Oreochromis niloticus: one gene and its partners. The protein of the gene in region 3 interacts with the protein of the main gene of each other region in a biochemical or structural test. Links are inferred from orthologs where the notes say so. Each region holds a gene or a part of one and is shown on either strand. Other genes may lie near its edges. The genes, in order: abl1, nck2a and erbb3b.

Region 1 (3,600 bases), on a different chromosome or scaffold from region 3:
GTGCAAGACTATACTTGAGCATACTATAGTTGTGAAATAAAGTGTGTAGATCCCATGGAAATTGGTAGTTTTTAGTTATTATTTTAGGTTTTTGAGGGTATTCTTGCATAATCCATCCACTTTAAACGGCTAAATAATGATGAAATGGGACTTTTCTTGAATAGGTTGCTCCATAACCTCCTTTTCTTCTGTTTTACACATCCTTTGGTGGGTTTGCTAATGTGCTAGGGGTCACTAGCTTGTAAAAATATTTGAGCAGCTGGAACTCTATGATAAAATTCAGAAGTCATAGTTGACTCAGTAGTTGCCCAAACTGCCCAGTCACTGAGACAGTGGAAAACCTAAAGCAAACCCAAACCATAATGTTTCCACCACCATGATTCACAGTATGAGTATGGCTTTGGTATTTGCCACTTCACTGGTACTGTAAACTGTAGTTTTATTCTAATTTTCCTCCTGGACAATAAATGCTTTCCCCTGACACCTCTCATGTAGGTTAGATTTGTATAATATCTTTCTTGCGGTTGTAAGAATCCCTTGCTAACCCTGTGAAGAAAGTTTGTGACTTCTCTCTGCTTTTAGTGTCTTTAAGTTCCCTTAAAGTGAATAATGACAACACACCTGAACACAACAATATATATGTTAGAGATTTAAATTAGGTAAATTCCCATAGATCGTGTAAAATATATATTTATATACAATCATAGGTTCACTCCCTACAGAGATCCTGATAACATGCCACCCCTGATTCTGATAAGTACTTCAAAGTGGGATAAATGTTGAGTTAGATGCTTTAAAACTGAGTAAAGTAACTAAATTTGTGTAATTTATCTGTAAGAAAAGAATCAAGTGTTTTCATAGTTTGATATGCCAAAATGCATATATCCTTAAAACTATTAGGCCTGGGCTAGATCATATTCTTGAGCATTGAGTTCTTTATGGCTTTGATAAAATCCACCATTATATGTGTGGGTGGATGAACCTTTAACCTGTGGACCTTCAGCTTTTCTCCCCTGTGTGAGCGTACTCTCTCTGCCTCAGCGTGGCTGCAGTGTTGTTGCTCTTCCAGCACAACAAAACCTTTGCTCTTGTCCTCCTGTGCTAGTCCACGCACGCACGTGACGTCGTACGTCGCCCCACCCACACACCCAGTAAACCACCTTGCGTATGGAAGTATGGCGGCCCCAGCTACAGAACTACTACTCCGCCAAAGTTTACTGCTGCGATTTTCACGTGAAAGCTATGAATAAGTACGAGAGCCAGGGGTTCGGTAACGAAGAGCTCGGCGACTGTGAACAGAGGAAAGGACTTGTAAAAAGAGTCATCGCTCTCTGCCCCGCTGAGTTGCCTCGATTTGCCTTGATTGAAGTGCCTTTTAGTCCGGGTACCGCAGGGGAAGAAACTCCGCAAGACGAGAAAAGTGGACACGGAAGTTTGAAACCAACTGTGGCTTTGGAAAGACCAGCTGCAAAGTCTTGAAAGGGTGGCGGTCAAATCATGTTTTTGTGAGACGTTTAAGTGCACTTGTCGGCGGTTTCCCTACCAGCGAGCCAGCGACAGCCAACTGTTGCCTGCTTGGTGTGCATTTAAGGGTCTGGCGCTGCATACCACCAGCAGACGTTGGTTAGCTTTCATGGCTATCTCCAACATTAGCATAAGGTCGCCAGCTAACAAGCCACATAAATGTTTCTGTGACCGTGTAAGTTTCTCTAAACACTTGTTTTTACTCCCTACGGCGTTCGTAACTAGAGCAAAAGTTTGCTTTATGTGGCACATTTACTTCAGTGCCTGTTACTGATGATTAAATGATCTTTCTTTTTTTTTTCTTTTTAACTTTGCTATTCCAATAAAATAAGGGCAGTAATGTTATGGCTATCAATACTTGCTACTTTTCTTGCTTTTTCTTTCCGTGACTAGTTTTTAAATCTAACACTTGGCAGTTTTTTTGCATATCTATAATAGAATAAAATAGAATGGCCCTTTATTGTTATTGTACAACTAAATTGTGGGTGCTCCACACCAACTGTGCGGAATAAAATGTAAATGGCAGATAGCAGTAATAAATATGAGTGTAGCTTAACCTAGATTAGAGGTTTTAATGGCTATCTTTTTTATTTAAAGAGCCTTGAGGCAACTGATATTGTGTTTGGCGCTATATAGATAAAACTGAATTAAATAGACGTGCATTAAAAATAGAAAATTTAGCTGAAGTTTAGGCTATATGCAGCAGGGAAAACTAATTTGTATAGAAAAGGAAGCACCTGACATCACAGTTAAAGTGGAACACAATAAAACTAAATGGGCAGTTAAGATTAGCTTGTGGTTTGTTATTTGGCACATAAACTACCAGTCAAATTAGTTCTTGTTTTATTTTGACTTTACGGTCACATATCTTTGTGTTAAATGAAATCATCACTGAATCTTGTTTTATTTGTCTCTAGATCGCTGTGAAATGTCCCGTAAAGCACTCACGCTCCATTAATGCATGATAAACAGAGACATACTGGAGCATCACTGATTTGTGCTGGTGACCTCCATCACCTAAATTCTGGGAGGGGAGTGCCCGAGCCAGGGGAACGGATTCTTTTCTTTTCCCAATCTCCTCTTTTCCTGGTGGGCAACTGAGTCCAGCTTGGAGAGTCCCGGCTGCGGCCTGGCACCCTGCCCTTATGGGGCAGCAGCCGGGGAAGCTTGTAGGGGACCAGAGGAGACCCAGTTTGCCGGCCTTCATCAAGGGCTCGAAGAAGGAATCGTCACGCCATGGGAACCAGCCCTGTAATGTTTTTGCTGTGCACGGTAAGATCAAATATTTTTGTCACTTATTACATTGACAGCAAATGGATTTCCTAAAGTATAATAAATTTGCTCAGTAGGGGAAATTCTTGATTGAAGCTTTTTTTTTTTTTTTGTCACAGGCAGAGTCAAAAATAACAAAGTTTTTTTTTTTTCAGCAAAATAAATCCCACAGTGAAAATGCGCACATTGGAGCAACCACTGTACATATTAGCCAAAGATCGATTATGATCTGACTAATTAATCAATGAAGATGAAAAAAATTGCTGTCCAGCTGCTATATTTATGTTCTTTTGAAATTTTGCACACTTTGTGCACAAGCAGTATATTTTTAAACCTCATTTTTAAGAAAAATGGTGACATGTAGCTTGTATTTGATGGAAATCTATCAGTAAACATTACCAAAGTAACTGTTTTTACCAGGAGATGAGTTTACACTTGACCTTTTACAAGATGTAATTTAGTTTATTAAATGTGTGTTTATTATAATAATATTGACCTCCACAGATGGAAGCAATGTTTTAATGTAATGTCATAATGTTTAATGTATCATTTTGGCATGTCAAGTGTACAGCACTTTGTGTTCAGCTGGGGGCTGATCTGAAAGTGCTATATAAATAAATTGCTTGCTTGCTTGCTTGCATAAAAGTTTTTTGAGCTTCTTGGGCCTTCAAACCTTCAACACAGTCTTTAAAATATTTTTAGCAAATGTGTGCAGTATGCTGAGTGTTTTTCTGACTTTACACTGTCAGACACACGAGATAAACTTTGAATGGCTGCTCATTGTCAACATGTCAAATCTTAACA
Region 2 (8,482 bases), on a different chromosome or scaffold from region 3:
ATGAGGGGCGTGGCTCTAAAATGGAAGACATCCTGGTTATAGCAGCAGCAGATAGAGTGGTGACATGTGTGACTCAGTCTCGATTAATAAATCAAGTTTGCCTCGGGATTAGGAGGAGTGGGGTATGAAAGACAAACCATTCCAATAATTTTGCACTTCTTCAGCAACATTAAACACCGCCTCCTCCCCCCTTAGACATGTAATGTTGTTTTTGAAAGTTATATAATGAACTTTATGCTGAATGATATCCAATCGGGAAATCTAATAATACCAAGTGTAGCAGTGTGAACACGCACATCAGCTCTTTCCAATTACCCGTGAGTCCGCAGCATTAAAACGGATTTAACTTTTAACGTGGATGGTTAAAAATAAGCACGTGCTTACAGTTATTCATCCAACTGTCCTCTAATTAAATTAGTTTGTTGAGGTAGAAAACAAAATTGTGTATGATGAATAAGACAGGGTGGTTGGGGTGAGGGGTGGAGGAGTGGAGTGTGGGTGAAAAGGTCAGCAGATGGTCATTTATTTGTCAAATCCTGACGCTATGGTGATGAAGGTTGGTATGTTAGGCATTCGCACATGATTACGGGGACAGCGCCCGTGATCCAGGTCACATACTTTATCTTTTTAGCACTGTTTCTTACAATATGCATGCAAATGGGACACACTGAGTCGTGATACTGCGACTTTGTATTGGTGGTGCAGAGTTTGGTGGATTAGAAGGGACAAAAAGCATTTTAGCTTTTGTGTTGCAGAAGGGGAACAATGCAGGCAGACATCCTGATACTTTTGGTGCACTACATCTGACCTGCTGCAGCATTTAGGGCACATTAAAGCTTTTGGCATACCAGTAATGGATATGCATTTCTTCCAAGGATGTTCTGCCCCCTTGTGACAGCAAATCCAATGCTACAAGAGCCTCTCTATACACGTGCAGTGTTATTTTCACTCTCACTGCACACTTTGAAATAAAGACAAAAAAGTGTCGCTCAGGCCTGCTGAGTTGAGTGTCAAAGGGCGTTTACAGGTAACTGCTTTGCTTTACATTGCAGGAATGAATAGGGACGTGTGAAGGCGCAGTGTAACACGGTACGCATAAATGAATCAGCATCGGTGGATTTGGGCCAACTGAACTGTTAAAACAGATGGATATTGCACATAAGAGATTAGTGGGAACAGAAGGTTTTGGCTATGAAAACTGTGTGTTGAGTAGGATCCAAATCCAGTCATAAATTACAAATGTGTAGTAGTCAGAGACACAGGATGTAGTCTTAATGTGAGACTGCACTTTTACAGCATTCAAAACAGCGATATTATTTTATTTTTTTCTTACATGACAGACAAACTGTCATAAAACTGACATGTAATATATAGTTGAGAAAAAGTCTTTAGAGATATTGACTAAATTCTGGCCTTTTGCCACGGCTCTAATTTCTCAAAATTAGATCTAGAACATTATTTGATTTCGAATGGTGCCCATAAAAGCAAATCACCGTGGGATACTGAGCAAGGAAAAACGGGACACTTTGGACACTTCAGTAGGGACTCCATTCCTAAATCAGATCGGCATCGACTCAGTGCAGCTTTCTTTTATTACCATCTTAGGACTGACTTGTTTTGATTGGATGTAAAAACCAACCTGTTATTATGCAACCGGTTACTCGTGCTCAAGGTTTATTCATGAAAATGCGGCCTTGTCAGTACTCATGAGATCATATACTGTATGTTAGGTGTGTCTAACAAACATAAAATACAACGGGGGGGATTTTGCTCTGATTGCTTTTAATCTGATTGCTCTTTGATTACTAAACCTTAGTACTGGTAAATATCAGACCTGCTCATTGAACCTCTAGCGTGTCAAGGTGTTTGACTGTTTTTAACTCTTTTTTTCACTCTAACATGAGCTAAATGCAACGTCTTTTCCGCCTCGTGTTATTTTTAACAGTTTCAAGTGTGTAGGATGATTTATTTCTGTAAATAGCACACCATCTGAGTGATGAAAACCGTGAGAAGGAACACACAGATGAGAAAACAACCGCACAAAGTCTAAATTTAGTGTGTGAACAATGGAGTTTACTGTGTAATATACGACGAATACTTTGGTATGATTAATTACATAGTTGACGGGCGAGCAGGGACTTTTTGATGAACTCATCAATACTAAGTTTTTGTTTATGAGTTTACTCAAGATAATCACTTGCAGGCTATTGAAAAAAAAAACCACTTTGCATGTAAAAATAAAATAAAATACATCCGTTTTCCCAGTGTGGTCGCCAAGGGGCGACACAGTACCTCACATTTTCTCCCTTTCTCTCGGCGTTGTCCTGTACGAGTCCCGGTGTGGGTGACGTCACCAAGGGGACCGGCGATCAAGCTGAGCGCACTCAACGAAATCAAACCGGAAATCAAAGAAGGTGTCTTCGAAATAAAAGCATTAGTCGTCTTAGATCACTTGGATAACACAGAAGCAAAATTTCATTGAAAATTGTAGGCGCAAACATGAATAACAGAAAACTGAATAAAAATTAAAATAGAAAATAAAATATTTTTAAATTCATAATCTCTGTTTGCATCCTGCTTAACATTTCTTTTCACACCTAGCCACAGCCACCTTGGGAGGGTAGTGAGACCTGCTGTTATGTGGGGTTTGGAGATGAACAAAAAGGACAGGGAGTTGAAGATGCTAAATTTTTCATTGTGAGTGACCAGGTAAGTTTGGAGATAGAATTAGAGAGAGTTTGGACATTTGGAGAGGGAGATAGGTCGTAGGTTGAACAAAGGATATTGGATATGAAGCTGCCAGGCAGGGGGAAAAGAGGATGATGACAGAGAAGATTCGTGGATGTAATGAAGTTGGTTGTGTGACAGAGGAGGATGTCAGGAATAGGGTGAGATGGAGCCAGAGCATCTGATGTGGTGACCCCCTAAAAGGAGCAGTCAGATGAAGGAGAAGACCCAGAATCCTTCTGGAAACAAGTCTTTGTGAAGCTTCTAGACACCTTTAAGGGCAGATATTTTGACGAATCATCTGAATTAACTTATTAAATAAAATACTGGTTACTTGGAGATTTTAAAAAAAAAAAGGCATAAACCGAAACACAAGACATATCTGACTTAAAAACTTAAAAACTTTAAAAATCTAAACACATTTATTAAAAATCTATTTTTCCCACCTGGAAGTTAAACTTCTATCACCATTTCCTCCGGATTTCAAATTCAGCTCGTTTGACTGCAACGTCTGTACGCCCAGAAGAATTTATTTTGAAAGCAAAGAGCGGAAGTTGGCAGCCCCATAGACCAAGCTTGAAACGAGTGATTGAGGTGGAGGCAGTCAGCCTGCGACGGAAAAAACAAGCGATAATAGGTCGGACACTTCATGCTCGATTCTTGTTTTAAAAGAAAGAAAAAATAGAGAAACCCGTGGATATGTGGATGTAGGGGGTTATCTTTGCGGCTTTCGCGCGGGCTCCCTAACTTACAATTTGATTGGCGGGTTCTGGTTCGGGGTTTGTTGTTGAGCGTGTCGCTGTTTGCCCATTCTCACTGGAGTGAACACTAAGGTAAGCCTTGTAACCGCAAATGAACTGTGTTAAGTTGGTGCACTTGGACCGGTCGCTTTGGCCATTTCAGTGCTGCTTAAACAACCGTTTTTAGTTAAATTTGCCCGCGAAAAATGTCATTACAAGCTGAAGTAAAAGTTGGGGTAAAGAAAAACGGCAGCTTGCTCGTGCCACTTTGTAGGTTTGACGCTGGGTCTTTGTCCACTCAGAGGTGGTTTCACTGGACGCTGTGTGCTACAGCCTCGGTTTTTCCTTGCGTTTGAGTGGTTGCTGTTAACTAGCCACACAAACAGTGATATTTTTCTTTTTTCATTTTTAGAGCCAGACTAAATGGTTTTCAATTTATCAACTTTACCATTTAGCAATTTTTGTGCGGGGCCACTTCTTAAAGGCCTGTAAGCGCAAGCTACTCAAGCAATCCTCAGGCAGGTCCTTTAGACTGTTTTCTCAGGCAGCTGCTCTTGTTTGAGTAATTTCTCGCATTTATATCTCAAATTAATAGAAATCCACACATAAATTCATGTTATTTTTTTTACATTTACAATGCACTGCGTTTGTCAGCAGGCCTGTTTAAAAACGCAGTGGCTTACACAATGAACCACATTTGCCAAAACACCATAGACTGGCGACTGGTGCCACATGCCGAGATTGTCAATGTTGAATGTCTAGTGGCTTTTCATGGTAACTACACCGTGCGTCCTCCTCATCAATAGCAGCAGAGAATAGCATGCATTGTCTGTCTTGCTGTGGCAGTTATTGTCCATAACTAAAGTCCCTTTTATTCTAGAAGACGGGGGGAAATTTGCACTTGCATGCAAATGCAAGGACTGAGGTTATAAGAAAGCACAGTTTCTCTTTTTTCTTTTTTTCAACATGCAGGTACACTTGCGTGGCACACCTATTCTGCCGACACACCCTCTGACAAGAGCACCATGTTAGCTCTGAGTCTAGGACAAGGTTCACTCAGAAGTGACAGGTATGCCGTGTAGGCATGTGCAATAATGGAGCGATAAAGTGTGAATTGCATAAACGTCCATTACATCACAAAGCAAAGAGAGAACGCGAGTTTCAGTGCTTTGCATTTCCAGCATATCAGAAACTAAAACTAGAAAGACTGCTAATGATACCGAGAAGTGCAGTAACTGCATGTACTCAGTGGAAATGTGAGCTTTTCGGGCTGACTTCACACTCAAGTAACATTTAGTATGAGTGTTGTAGATTATGTGGTGGTTCAGTTAAACCCTAAATTTGACCTGAAACTATTAGTTATGGGAATTACGGTGATCGGGTAATTTGGGTCTGATTCCACCTCTCAGTGAATATTTGCTGCATTTCTTGATCCTCTATGATTGTAAGCTGAATATTATTGCATTTTTGATTGGCAATCAAAAAAAGCGGTATTAAAATAACTCACGCCGTGCCTTTTTTTAGAATTTTATTTTACGACTTATAAACAGTTATAACTGAGAAAGTAATGTAGAAGTGAGTCAGATAATTGTTGCAAACCTGCTGTATCCTGTTGCATGTATGTTTTTAAATGAGGTTTTGATCTAAGGCATATTTTGTAGGTACATTTTGAAGGAATCATTGATTACCAAGTGTGTGCACATGTTAAGCAATTTTGTCATTTTAATCTAAAGCTGATTAAGTCAATTTTGCAGATGCTGCTTTTTTCCCTCTTTAAAATCTTTGTAAACCAATTATTTGGGGCTTTTTCTAACTGCTGGTTGCTCCAATTGCATCATTTAAAGGAGTCTTTCATTACCTCTCCTTTCAAGAATTTATAATTGACATGTTTCATTATAAGCTGGACTTATAGAAGAGCCCTTTTCAAAATGACACACATTAAATTGCCTCCATGTGCTGCGGAGACTGAAACCAATGGTGCGTTCAGGCAGCCATCATCAATTAATAAAGTCAAAAATTTTAAGAGTCAATCTGTGGGAACTTCCCCTTTAATAGTCTGCCAAGTGTTAAATGCTGGAGATGAACTGAAGCTATTTTTTTTTTTTTTTTTTAACCAGTGTGTGATTCAGCATTTGGATATTAAAACATGCATGGTTTTTCCTACCATAATGTGCCTAAGTGAATGAAGCAGCCTGGACAACAGGTAATGATTAACCTCATATCCAATCTGATAGAAAGAACAAACACTGGTGTTAATATATGACTTTGTTTGTTTCCACCTTGCATGAGCTTTGTCACTTTAAGTTGATATGAAGGCAGCTCGTAGCAAATGTTGAACAGAATACTCTGGACGTCAGATGATTGCATAAACATTTGGTGCCGATTTAGAGAAAATAATGTAATATGAATATTTCTTAGTATATGTGACGTTGATATAAATACGAGCGTGTAGATCGCCCTCGCATTTAGTGACAAATTGCTATTTTTTGTCTTAACTTCCCCTATCAAACTTGGAACATGTGCACGTTTGTCATTTGAGCTGCATTTTTTTTCTTCTTACAGATGAGAGAGTAATCCAAATCCTCTTTCTTCTGTGTATTTGATTGCACTTTTATGAGCTGCAACTAATTACTCTGCTCGTCTTTCTTGTGTATGCCTAATGGGCCTTAAAGAAAAAAAAAAAAAAAAAAAAAAAAAAATATCCCTTGCATACTGCCGCGCTGTGCCCGCACAATATTTTTTTCCTCTGTTGTTTTGAGTGGAAGCCAGTGGAAAATGACTTTGTTCCGAGCAAGTGATGCTTTGCTTCTTTCTTATTTTGCTGATTTATGTGATTTGTACTTGAAGTGGTCTTTTTTTTCTCTCTCTCTCTCTTTTTTTAAATGTGAAGAAGGCGCTGAGTCGATCATATGCGATCTTAAATTGTCTGTAATGTAGCAATGAATCATTTATAGTCTAATAACATAAGTGGTAGTTAAATGATTTAAGATTTCAAGTGCAGGCGAAATATATCTTTATTTTTATGCCTGCTGTGAGAAAAGGGTTTTAAAGCCTATTGCGTCATCCTCTTTTATTTTATGACCTATATTACATGGGCTGTCTCTTGGAGAGTGAGGGTAATTTTATTTACACTTTCTTCACATTGTCTAGAACGATGTGAAGAAAGTGTAAAACGTAGGTTTTTGTGTAGACCTCCCAAACAAAATAATAGAAATTTATTTCCAGCAATATTTTCAGGAGCCTACAGCAGGGGGGAAACGTCCATGGAAAAGGATTTATTTATTTTTTTCACGTGGAAAGCATAACATTTCATGTCCCTCAGGGAAAAGGCTTAGTAGGAATGAAGAAAGAATTAATAAATGCTGCAAGAAGACACTGAGCAATGCTTCTGAAGAGAATCATGATGGAAGCAAGATGAAGGCCATCTCATTGTCATTGTAATCATCTGTAATCTGGGGAATAGTTATCCATTAAACTGACAGTACATGCAGTTATGACAGTGGGCCCCCTTTCTGTGACTCTGTAATGTAAGAGAAGAAAGTTGATTCATGCTGCTGTTTAAACTGGCTCAGGAAGGTTACCGTGTGTGTGTGTGTGTGTGTGGTCTTGTTGGTTAAATATAATCTTTCTTCATTTGGGTTTTGTTTGTTTTTAAAGTTGGTGTTATTTCCTTCAAACCACGTCACTCCAGCCCATCAATGTTTTTTTTTTTTTCTTTTCTTTTTTTTTTTTAATGTTATGATAAACATGGCTCTGGGATGGAAGTGTCAGTCGGTCACTTTAGCGCACTGTGGTTTATTTTAACAAATATAGACAAATGGAAAGATAAGTTATGCACAGATATTGTTAGTGTATAAAGTGATCATCATAAGAATTTCCCCTTCCTTATCCTAGTGTGCTACATCTGGTCCAAGGTGTTGCTTATTCTGTGCAATGATTTTTTTTTTTTTAACATGATTTTTCACAGTGTAGTGATTTGCACATTTGCCTAACAAGCAAAAGATCCCTGATTTGATGCCGGGGGGAGACACAAATCCCTTGGGGGTTTCATCGGGAAGGGCATCCAGCATAAAAATCTGCCAAATCAAATACATGGAGAGATCCGCTGAGGTGACCGCTTGTCACTAAGGGAGCTGCTGAAAAGTAGCTTTTCTTTTCAAAACCGACTTAATATTTATTCAGTATAACCTAAAATTAGTGACTGAGCCCATAAACTCTGTAGAAAAGCTTTTACAGAGGTCAGGAATGAAAAACCCTTTCCCATAGACTTTAATAGAACCATAAATCTCTTTGCAACTGGAGCTATCACCATCTGGTGTCTTCCAGATAGATGCAGATTGTTAGGGACTTCTGCATTGGGTTTATTTAACCAACATGAAAGCTGTGTCTGTTTTATACTGTTTATGGCTGCGGTAGGCTGGGCCTTGGAAGACCTACATGGTGACCATTATGCAAACAATAGAGATCCTGCACTTGACGGTTAATGTTGCATGCAGATGATGGTGAACCATGTGAGAGATCCTAAGCAAAGGCAACTGTTAAAGTTTCTTTAACAGGTTCAACTTTATAAACTTTGTGACACAAGATACATCTACACCAAGTAAAGTGTATATGTATCTTACTGATTAAAACTCTTCTTTAGTAATCTTAGCTGCACCTGGAAAAAAAATGTGAGAGTTTCAACTTTGAGTTTTATAGCTAAACTGAATGGAAAAAATGTATTGATCTATCATGATTATTATTTCTTCTCTTTGGAAGCAAAAATTTAGACATTCATTCCTCTCTTTCTGTTAATCTGATGGCATCTGAACGTGTCCGCTTCAATCCCATTGGCTATTTAAGACTCCAGTTACACGAGCCTAGAAGCTAGCCAGAGATAATGGCAACCACTGGTCACTGGTTGTTGAACGTTGCTGGCTATTGGAGTTGTAATGGTAAAGCATAGATATTACTTTGAAGGCGAACATTCTCTTTTTTCACTTTATCTCTTACTACCACTTGGGAAGTAGTTGACG
Region 3 (8,482 bases):
TTCATTTCAGTTTTATTTATGTAGCACCAGTTCACAATTGTAATGTAAAAAATCAAAATTACAGTTTAACAGATGTGGTGAGAAGTTTATCTCTACTCATCATGGGCCTGAACGTCAAAGTAATTTTGGACTGATTTCTTTTAACTCTTTCTTTTTTTTTCCAGGGTGAAATGATTTTGCACCATACATCTTTAATGTCTTTAAAAAAACAAGAATTACGTGCGCAAGTTTGAATTTATTTGGGGCTTTCTCTAAACCACACAGGGTCCAAAATATACACATACACCCTTTATATTTGGTTAAATGTCCTTTAGTAAGTTGTACCTTGTCAAGATACTTTTGGAAAACCATATTCAAAAAGCTTCTGGGATAATTCTAGCTGGACATTTGACCACTATTTTTAGCAGGTCTGGTAGAGATCATTTAAATTGTCACTGCTTTGGCACCAAGGTCCAGAAGATGACTCAAACTGTCACTTCAATTCTGCCAAGAAGAATTATGCCAGAAACTTGCTGATGGTTACCAAAAGCATCCTGATGAGGTGATTGATAGACAATGTGCTGAAGGACCATCCATCCATCCATCCATCCATCTCTTCCACTTATCTAATTCAGAGTCACAGGGGGGCTGGAGTGCATCCCAGTTGCCACAGGGCAGACACAGGGTACACTCTGGACAGGCTGCTAATCTGACTCAGGGCTAACACAGAGACACAAACAAGCATTCAAACTCACCCCTACAGGTAATTTAGAATCACCAATCAACCTAACCCCACTAACTGCATGTCTTTGGACTGTGGGAGAAAGCCGGAGAGCCATGCAAATACACCAAGAACATTCAAACTCCACACAGAAAGGTCCCGGTCAATTCAAAGGAATCATTTAAAGCCCAGACTTCCCATGACATTCATGCCCATGTTGAGTGGATGTTGAGGGGTAGCAGCAGTGCTGTAAGACTGTTAAAATGCTGTAGATTGAGATGAGTGATGTTTAAGATTATATAGGAATAAAAGTCAAAAACCAAATACGAAATTAGGTTCATGTTTTGTGTAATATTAGGTTGAATCAAGTTTGAATAAAGAGAGCACTTGAGGAACAGAGTAAGTTAGAGCCGTAGTAGGGAGAAGGTGTTTTCTATCCTTTACAGGAGAAGATTTCCACAAGAGAAGGACCCAGAAAAGGGACAGACCACTAGAGATTCACAAGTGTAAGGGGTCTCTCACCGGGTATGATTGGGTTCAGGGGTGAGGGAGGAGTGCTGATTGAGCTCTGCTCGCACTCTTATTCTCTCCTGCCCCTGATCAACTTTAGGCTCACTGATACTTTGGTGTGATTAACCTCAAGCATGAGTGTTCTCAAGTGGGAGCGGGCATTTTATTATTAAGACCACCTAGATGACATGGGGTTGTCTGGTTTGCTAAGTCACAGGATGCCAAGAGAGGGTCAGTGATCCTAAAGTCCACGACGTCAGGGGTGGACAGGGAAGCAGCTGAATGGGACAAGGAGTGATGCACCTGAAAGTATGGTGACCTCTGGTCAGCCAGAGGTCAAAAGGGGGAATGAGGGGTCCGACAAAATGCTTTTGCCATTATGTAATCTGTAGCTTCCACATAGTATGCTGATCAGTGTAATTTTCAATGATCAAACTGTAATAGAGACGAGCAAACATATTGGCAGAGCTGAGAAGGAGAAGCCTGTGTTATGAAAATGATTTTAATCTTTTATACATGATTGCATTTGAGCATATTAAAGAGCTGTGGCTCCTGGTCACGTGAAGGTCAGAAGTGTAACGGGTGAGATGTGAGAGCATTTAAGGGCGAGACACACATACAGACACAAATAGTGAGAGGTCATGACACGTACACAGTACACAGCACGCACGCGCCCCCGCACGTGCACACATACACACCATAATAGATCTATTTTGGTAGGGCAGAAGTGAAGATGTATTTTTGCTGCAAATGCAGAATTGTGCCGACGTACTTAGAGGAAGTGCAACAGATGTCCCAGGAGATAAGCGACAGCGAAGACGAGCTGAGGGGAAGCACCGACCCGAAGACAATGTACTTTAAACTATGTTAAAGTTCACGGAACATTTTGTGGTTTAGGCTGACGTATGCTGTATTAAATCTGCCTACCAACAGAAAAGGGGGCTGTACTATCTTAACCCTATAAAACTGTTGTCTGAATATGGTAAAGACAGTTCAATACTGATTGGGTTGTTGAACTCACACATGTGTTTATTAAAATACTGTCTAATTGCACACTGGACCGGATCTGTGGTTATTTATGGATTCCTCTCTCAACAATGAACCTTAACAATGTAAACTTCTGACCACAGCTGTATTTGATGGCAGGGACTTCCAGTAGGACCAGGCTTGATCTGAGATGTTGAGTTTAATTGCTCCATTTTATGTAATGCACCACTCCCCACTGTTACAAACGCCTTGGGTTTCAGAAAGCATTTTCTTTTACAGAACAAACATTGAACGTTTTCTTTCTCTAATATCTGTTTTTCTGTTGTTCTTCTAACCCGTCAGGTTTGCGAGTCCCAGCTGTTGTAGGCCGTTGGAGCCGTCCTTGGGGTAGTTGAGGAAGATCGATAGAGCAAAACGTCTTTCATACAGGCTGTTTCCTCTGATGACGCGCAGTTGGCCCAGAGGAATCTCTTGAAAGTGGTTCATAGCAATGAGGACATAGCCAGTCACCTCACGGATTCTCTAGAGTGAAGAAGACCATTAATATAAGAGGCAATATAAGAGGCTACTTCTACAATATACTCTCCACTTTTTAACGCTTTTTTTCAAATTTACCGACTGGAGGCCTGGAGAGTAAGGAAACATGACATTTACCTTGAGGAAGGAGAAGTCCCAGTTACTCTCAATCTGTGTGATCTCCAGGTTTCCCATTACAATCTCACAGCCATAATACCGGTTTCTAATCAGATTGTACTGGTTCTCCTGAGAGCCCGTGGAACTGAGTCCATTCTGCGTCCCTGGACACACTTCTAACACAGATAGGGAATAAAGATGAAAATGAACGTAAATAACACTGGGAAACTGAGTACTGTGGGCTGTGTTGTGTCTGTGGTATTTATAGGGTTGGTGACTCTCCCTGATGCTGTGTTCATGCCTGTGCTGGCTACAGATTTTGATGTGAAGCAGAGAGAAACAGGCAGGCTGTTACCCGCTTACATGGAGCAGTACAGGCCTGGGGCTGATGAAGAGGAGGCCAGGGGGGTCAGAAGAGAGAGTGACTTTTTTTTTCTTTTTTTTCCCCCTCAGACAAAGTGCTTCATTGTTGTAAAGCTATAAATGTGGACAGTGTGTCTCAGTGAGTGATGAGTGCTGCAGTGACAGACAGTGCTTCTGTGTATGCGTGTGCATGTGCGTCTGCAAGCCACGCATTGCTGAGATCATACCAAAAGACAATGGGCCGTGTGTGAATGGGACTCTCTGGCAGAGGGAAGGGAAATATCGTGAACGGAAGGTGACATACACACCATCTCTGAGTGCCCAGCAAGAAAACTGAGGAACTGGTCCTTTAATGTGCAAACGTTAGCCACCTGCAGCACTCACTCAACACAAGTCACATCTCTTGTCTTCGTTATGAACACATAACACACAGCTATAGGCCCCTGAAGACTGCTGCATAATAACAATGGAAAGTTACATGCTGACAAAGGACTGTTGCCTAATGCACACTTATATTCATACATGGCTCTTTTAAGCAAACACTGGCCCTGAATCATTCAGCTAATCTGGGAGGACTCAATAATATTCAACTCATACTTAGGATACTCAAAAACAGGCATTAGTACTTAAATTATTTGTTAATGTTTTGTATTTATAAAAACATTCATAAAACATTCATGAAAGGGCTCAGTGATCGGAAATTAGTAAATAAACAAAAGGTCCTGACAGGAAAGAAAAACAGTGTGATTGTTTGACAGCTATCTCAAAGGGAGATCTGAATGTTAGCAAAGACACATTAATGTCGTTGTAACTGCAGATAACCACATTAAATTTTATTAGAAAGAATTTAGTGACAGCGTGACAATCAGTTAATGGTAAATAGAGGTTCTTAAAGTGAATCTTTGCTGTTCTCTGCAGATTTTTACAGTGCAGTGCAAGGGCCTGGATAAGACCCTAATCATAACAATAAAAAAGCTTTTAAGGAAGAGTGGTGAGCTGTGAAGCAAACAATGGCATGGTGAGGTTTATCACTTTATACTACGAAAGCTTTAAGTGCATACAGTTAATTCTATTCTATTGCTAGAATTTGTCTGGTAATTGAGGTATTATCTAAATTTCACGAGATTCAAACTTAATGAAGACAGGATTTCAGATGTAGAATCACGTATATCCTCACCTTCATGCGTTTGAGATGATGTTCGAAGTCTCCAAGACAAAATCACTCCCAGTAAAATGACTCGCCACTGCTCCATGCTGATGTCCAGCCTGTTCACGGAGATCTATGCATATCACAGGGGTTTAGGTAGTCCTCCGAAGAGCCAATATGTATTGCAGGGAAAACTTTGACTAAAGAATATACAGTAGGGGGTGTAAAAGTTAAGAGTTAAGTCTCTATGAAAGGGAAAATCCGATCAAATCATGAGTCAAAGTGAAGGACAAGTGCAACTCCTTCAAAACACCTAATAAGACCGCAAACATCCCTCAGACTACTTGAAAAACTGAGAACAAGTTGTAGTTTATTGTGATGAGGGAATTTCCCTCCCAGATGGGGACGTGTGATTGGCCGATATCCCGACCAATCAGTGGTTTGTCCGTCATTTCGAGCTGAAGCCTCGGTTGTTACGCTAAAGCAAAGAATTTTGCTAAATTTATGAAGCCCTCGAGAAACGACTGACATAATACTGCTGACAGAAAGCTTAAAAAATTACAAACACGCGTGGCTAAAACACTATAATAACAAAAAAGCTAAATGACACACGAGTCACTGAGACAGACTCGGTTGACTAACAAGGACAGGTCGTTCAGTGTAGCATTTAACTGATTTTGGATGTGAATCTTTGCCGTGTGCAGCAGTGTGAACACCAGTTATTTTTGTTTCATGCTGTCAGCAGTGGAAGCAGCGTTTCGGTCCCCCCACCCAGTAAGAGCCCAGCGCTCTGAGTGGCCGCACTGTTTCCCCCCGTAAAGAGCAGTATTGTCCCCGCAGCCCTGTCAACTGGTTAATCACCTCTTTGATGCGTATGGAGCAGCCTGCCACAATGGCCACATTGTCAGACAGTCAAGTGACTTCTGAACCCAAAACAAGAACATGCTTAATTTGAGAAAATGGCCTCGGAGCAGACAAGATTCCTGAACACGGAGCTGCGGGTGAAAACGGGCCACTAATGGATGGAAATCATTAACCGCTTCTGACAGATGTACTGTTAATCTTATTTTTGAATGCGGCAGGGAGGGGAGAGCCGAACAATCCACAGTTTGTTTGCAAGCATCCATGTGCAGGAAATGGGAAGAATGGTGAGATTGAGATGAACTTGGATTTTAATGTTCGTCTCAACAACCTGATGGTAAAAGACGCCAAGAAATAACACCACAGCGCGGTTTATGTGTACAGTAATTAATGTCTTTGTTGTTCATCTGCCTGGACTTTAAAGCAGGAGTCTCAAATGCCCTACTCCAGCCTCTTTTTCTGTCCAGCAGGAGGAGCCAGAGTCTGACACTTAGGCGTCCTATTTCACAGCTGCTGCAGGGCCCTGTGGTGGGTAGACTCAGCGTTTGCACATGGATGGCTATTTTTACACTGTTTATTGGACATTTGATCCAATCTCTAATTTCTTATAATAAAATAATCAGCCTTTAATCCAGTCAGTCACTGAATAGTGGAAAACTTTGTGGGGAAAAAAACACCATTGCCCCAAAAATGTTGGAAGAAATCTTGAAGACTGAGTCAGTTGTTTTGTTTCATAAACAGCAGTCAGTGTGAAACTTTCCTGTTGCTGAGTAAAACGGTGAAAAGTGTAAGATTGTCACCAGATGCACTTTTTTTGTGCGTGTGTTCATTTTTCACATGAGAGTTTCTCTGTTTGTCCCGTCAAGATAGCTTTGATAGCAGCCTATAGTATTTACAGAGCTTGGCACTTTCACAACGCCACCATGGTGTCAAGTCTCTGTGTCAGCCCTGGTGGCCCTGTCCCTTCCAAGGGGAACTGTGAGGGGTGCCTGCTGTGGCCTTTTGGAGTTGCCACTCCCTTCAGAGATTGATGAATTGATTGTGGGGCTGCTGCCAGTGTGTCTGTGCCCTGGGCGAAGGTGTCCCGGTTACGAGTGGGAATCCCAGCTATGGCATCCGCCCTGGGGCCACTATTGTAGCGGTCCTGCAGGGGGCCAAGGGGGCTGGTGGCCCCGGGAGCAGCTCCGACTCACATACTGCTGTCACACCCTTGGAGACACAGCAGCACTCTCCCCTACATGGACCTCTGATTGGCTCAGACAAAATGACTCTCTGTGAAGTGCAGCAATTCCACAGGCAAACTACCTGATTGTGCCAAACTTCTCTTGATAACAGCAGTTAATAAAGGACAAAAGAAAGGCTGTGTAGAGCCAAATCCCACAGTTGTGTAATATGTGCTGTTAGTCTGATTTTAGTCTTAGCTGATGACTGGTACGGTAAACAGTTTACTGAGTTAAAACTGTTCTCGATCAACTCCCACTTCATTAAAAAAAACCCAGTCTAACTCACATTTAGATTTTTGACCTTTATTGTGCAGAGTGATACATGCGTCATAAGGGACGTCAAAGCTGTTTCCTATTAATCTGCTGAAAAGAACGTCCTTCTGGACTCACCTTAAATCAAAGTTCAACATGTGTAGGCATAAGAGGATATTGTGACATCACAACCAGTTTGGAGGCCAGATGTGGCCGCAACTTAAAACCTCCGGTGCACACATGAAATCAATTGAACATATATGTGTTGAGGCAACAGTTAAGAGTTTTTAAATATTTTACTGTTTATTATGGATTCATCAATGAAGGAGAAGTACAGTAAGGTCAATAATGTGTTGTGCAAAGACAGAGTTTTTGTAGTGTTGCCTCTGTACACCGCCACAGCAGATTTTAAATCAAACAGTCATGATGTGACTGACATGCACACACGCCTGCTCTTAAAGTGTGGTCTTGATCTGGTTAGATGCTGTGAAGCCGTTTTTCTTAACCATGGAAATAATTCTGTCATCATGCACTCCATTTGTCTTCGCTGGTCTTCCAGGCCTGTTGGGAGCTGCTGACTTGATCACTGCATTTATACTTCTTAAGAATGTTGCTTCAGCCATTCCTAATTATTTCATTATTGCTCTTATTTATTTGGGTTTTTCAAGCTAACTTGTCTCCCTCACTTGAAATGACATCTCTTATGAGCCTCATGTTTTAAAAATAACAATAAAAACTATAAAATAAAAATTCTACACTTTGAATCAACCTCAGACATTGTGTGTTTAATTTGTCCTTTGACTCAAAAATGACTGTACAGAAGCAAAACTACAAAAACAGTGTCTCTGTCCAACAAATTGAGGACCAAACTGTTTCAAGAAACCTAGCAGGGATCTTAAAAGGACACATCACCTCCAAATCAAATACAGTAGTTTGTGTGAGAACTGCCTTCGTTCTACCACACTGCACTCACCACCCACATCAAACATAGTGTTTTGGTGCTTTGAGCACCACAAGTATACTCTGTAGCTTCCTTTTATTCAAGCAGACAAACATCTTCAAAACTGGGCAACTTATCCAAGAACAATGATTGACAAATAATGACTCGCACATTTGATTCTGGGGCGAACTGTCAACTTGAAATTGAGTTTGAGCCACAGACAAGAGAAGATAAAGACAGCACGCTCGTAATCGTGCTGGGGTTTTCAAACCAACACGTGCGACGATAAACGATAGCAAGGAAAAAAATGAGCAAGGCAAAGCAAATGTATACTCTGGTCTTTTTATTTATTGATGTAGTCTCAGGAATAATTAAATCATTCAACACTTTTGCACCTGCTTAGGTTTTTCTGATTTTCTGTCTTAAATTTCCCCCTCTTCATATTATACTCTGTTTCTCTCTGAGAGCAAATCGCCAGCTGGAATGTCGTGCAGCCTCATTTAATATTTTTCTTTATTTGAAAGTTAAAATCTGAAAATAGTCACTGAAAGAGGGAGGGATGTTTAGCCACATCGGAACTGCTAGTGCATCGGTGTCACAGATCATAGGTGAGATACTTGAATGCTGGATATTTCTTACATATAAACCTGTTATCAAAGAGAAATGAAACCACTGGCTAAATAAGGCCACGAAAACAATTTTCACACCAAACCGAACGGAATATAATGCACGTCACACACGCACACACAAGCTGCTGTCAGTTATCTGCCAACACGCTGACCCCATTATCTACAGGTGTATCAACAGCGCTTTTGGTTTCACCCCGAAAACCACGGTTCCACTTTCCCGGTTACATCAACATATAT

What was found.
Region 1: the proteins of erbb3b (region 3) and abl1 form a complex in vitro, tested with the Homo sapiens proteins (2 studies listed by BioGRID and IntAct, with this or other methods). The link is inferred for Oreochromis niloticus from reciprocal best matches to the Homo sapiens genes ERBB3 and ABL1.
Region 2: the proteins of erbb3b (region 3) and nck2a form a complex in vitro, tested with the Homo sapiens proteins (2 studies listed by BioGRID and IntAct, with this or other methods). The link is inferred for Oreochromis niloticus from reciprocal best matches to the Homo sapiens genes ERBB3 and NCK2.

The regions. Positions count from the first base shown.
Region 1 is NC_031972.2:21,282,640-21,286,239, reverse strand, and holds the start of abl1 (tyrosine-protein kinase ABL1), read left to right. Parts: upstream 1-1,125; 5' UTR 1,126-1,699; intron 1,700-2,441; 5' UTR 2,442-2,669; coding exon 2,670-2,796; intron 2,797-3,600. UniProt on the Homo sapiens protein: Non-receptor tyrosine-protein kinase that plays a role in many key processes linked to cell growth and survival such as cytoskeleton remodeling in response to extracellular stimuli, cell motility and adhesion, receptor endocytosis, autophagy, DNA damage response and apoptosis.
Region 2 is NC_031987.2:20,987,449-20,995,930, forward strand, and holds the start of nck2a (cytoplasmic protein NCK2a), read left to right. Parts: upstream 1-3,245; 5' UTR 3,246-3,364; exon of another isoform or gene 3,365-3,560; intron 3,561-5,584; exon of another isoform or gene 5,585-5,670; intron 5,671-8,482. UniProt on the Homo sapiens protein: Adapter protein which associates with tyrosine-phosphorylated growth factor receptors or their cellular substrates. Maintains low levels of EIF2S1 phosphorylation by promoting its dephosphorylation by PP1.
Region 3 is NC_031984.2:19,602,043-19,610,524, forward strand, and holds the start of erbb3b (receptor tyrosine-protein kinase erbB-3b), read right to left. Parts: upstream 4,982-8,482; 5' UTR 4,447-4,981; coding exon 4,371-4,446; intron 3,007-4,370; coding exon 2,852-3,006; intron 2,720-2,851; coding exon 2,533-2,719; intron 1-2,532. UniProt on the Homo sapiens protein: Tyrosine-protein kinase that plays an essential role as cell surface receptor for neuregulins.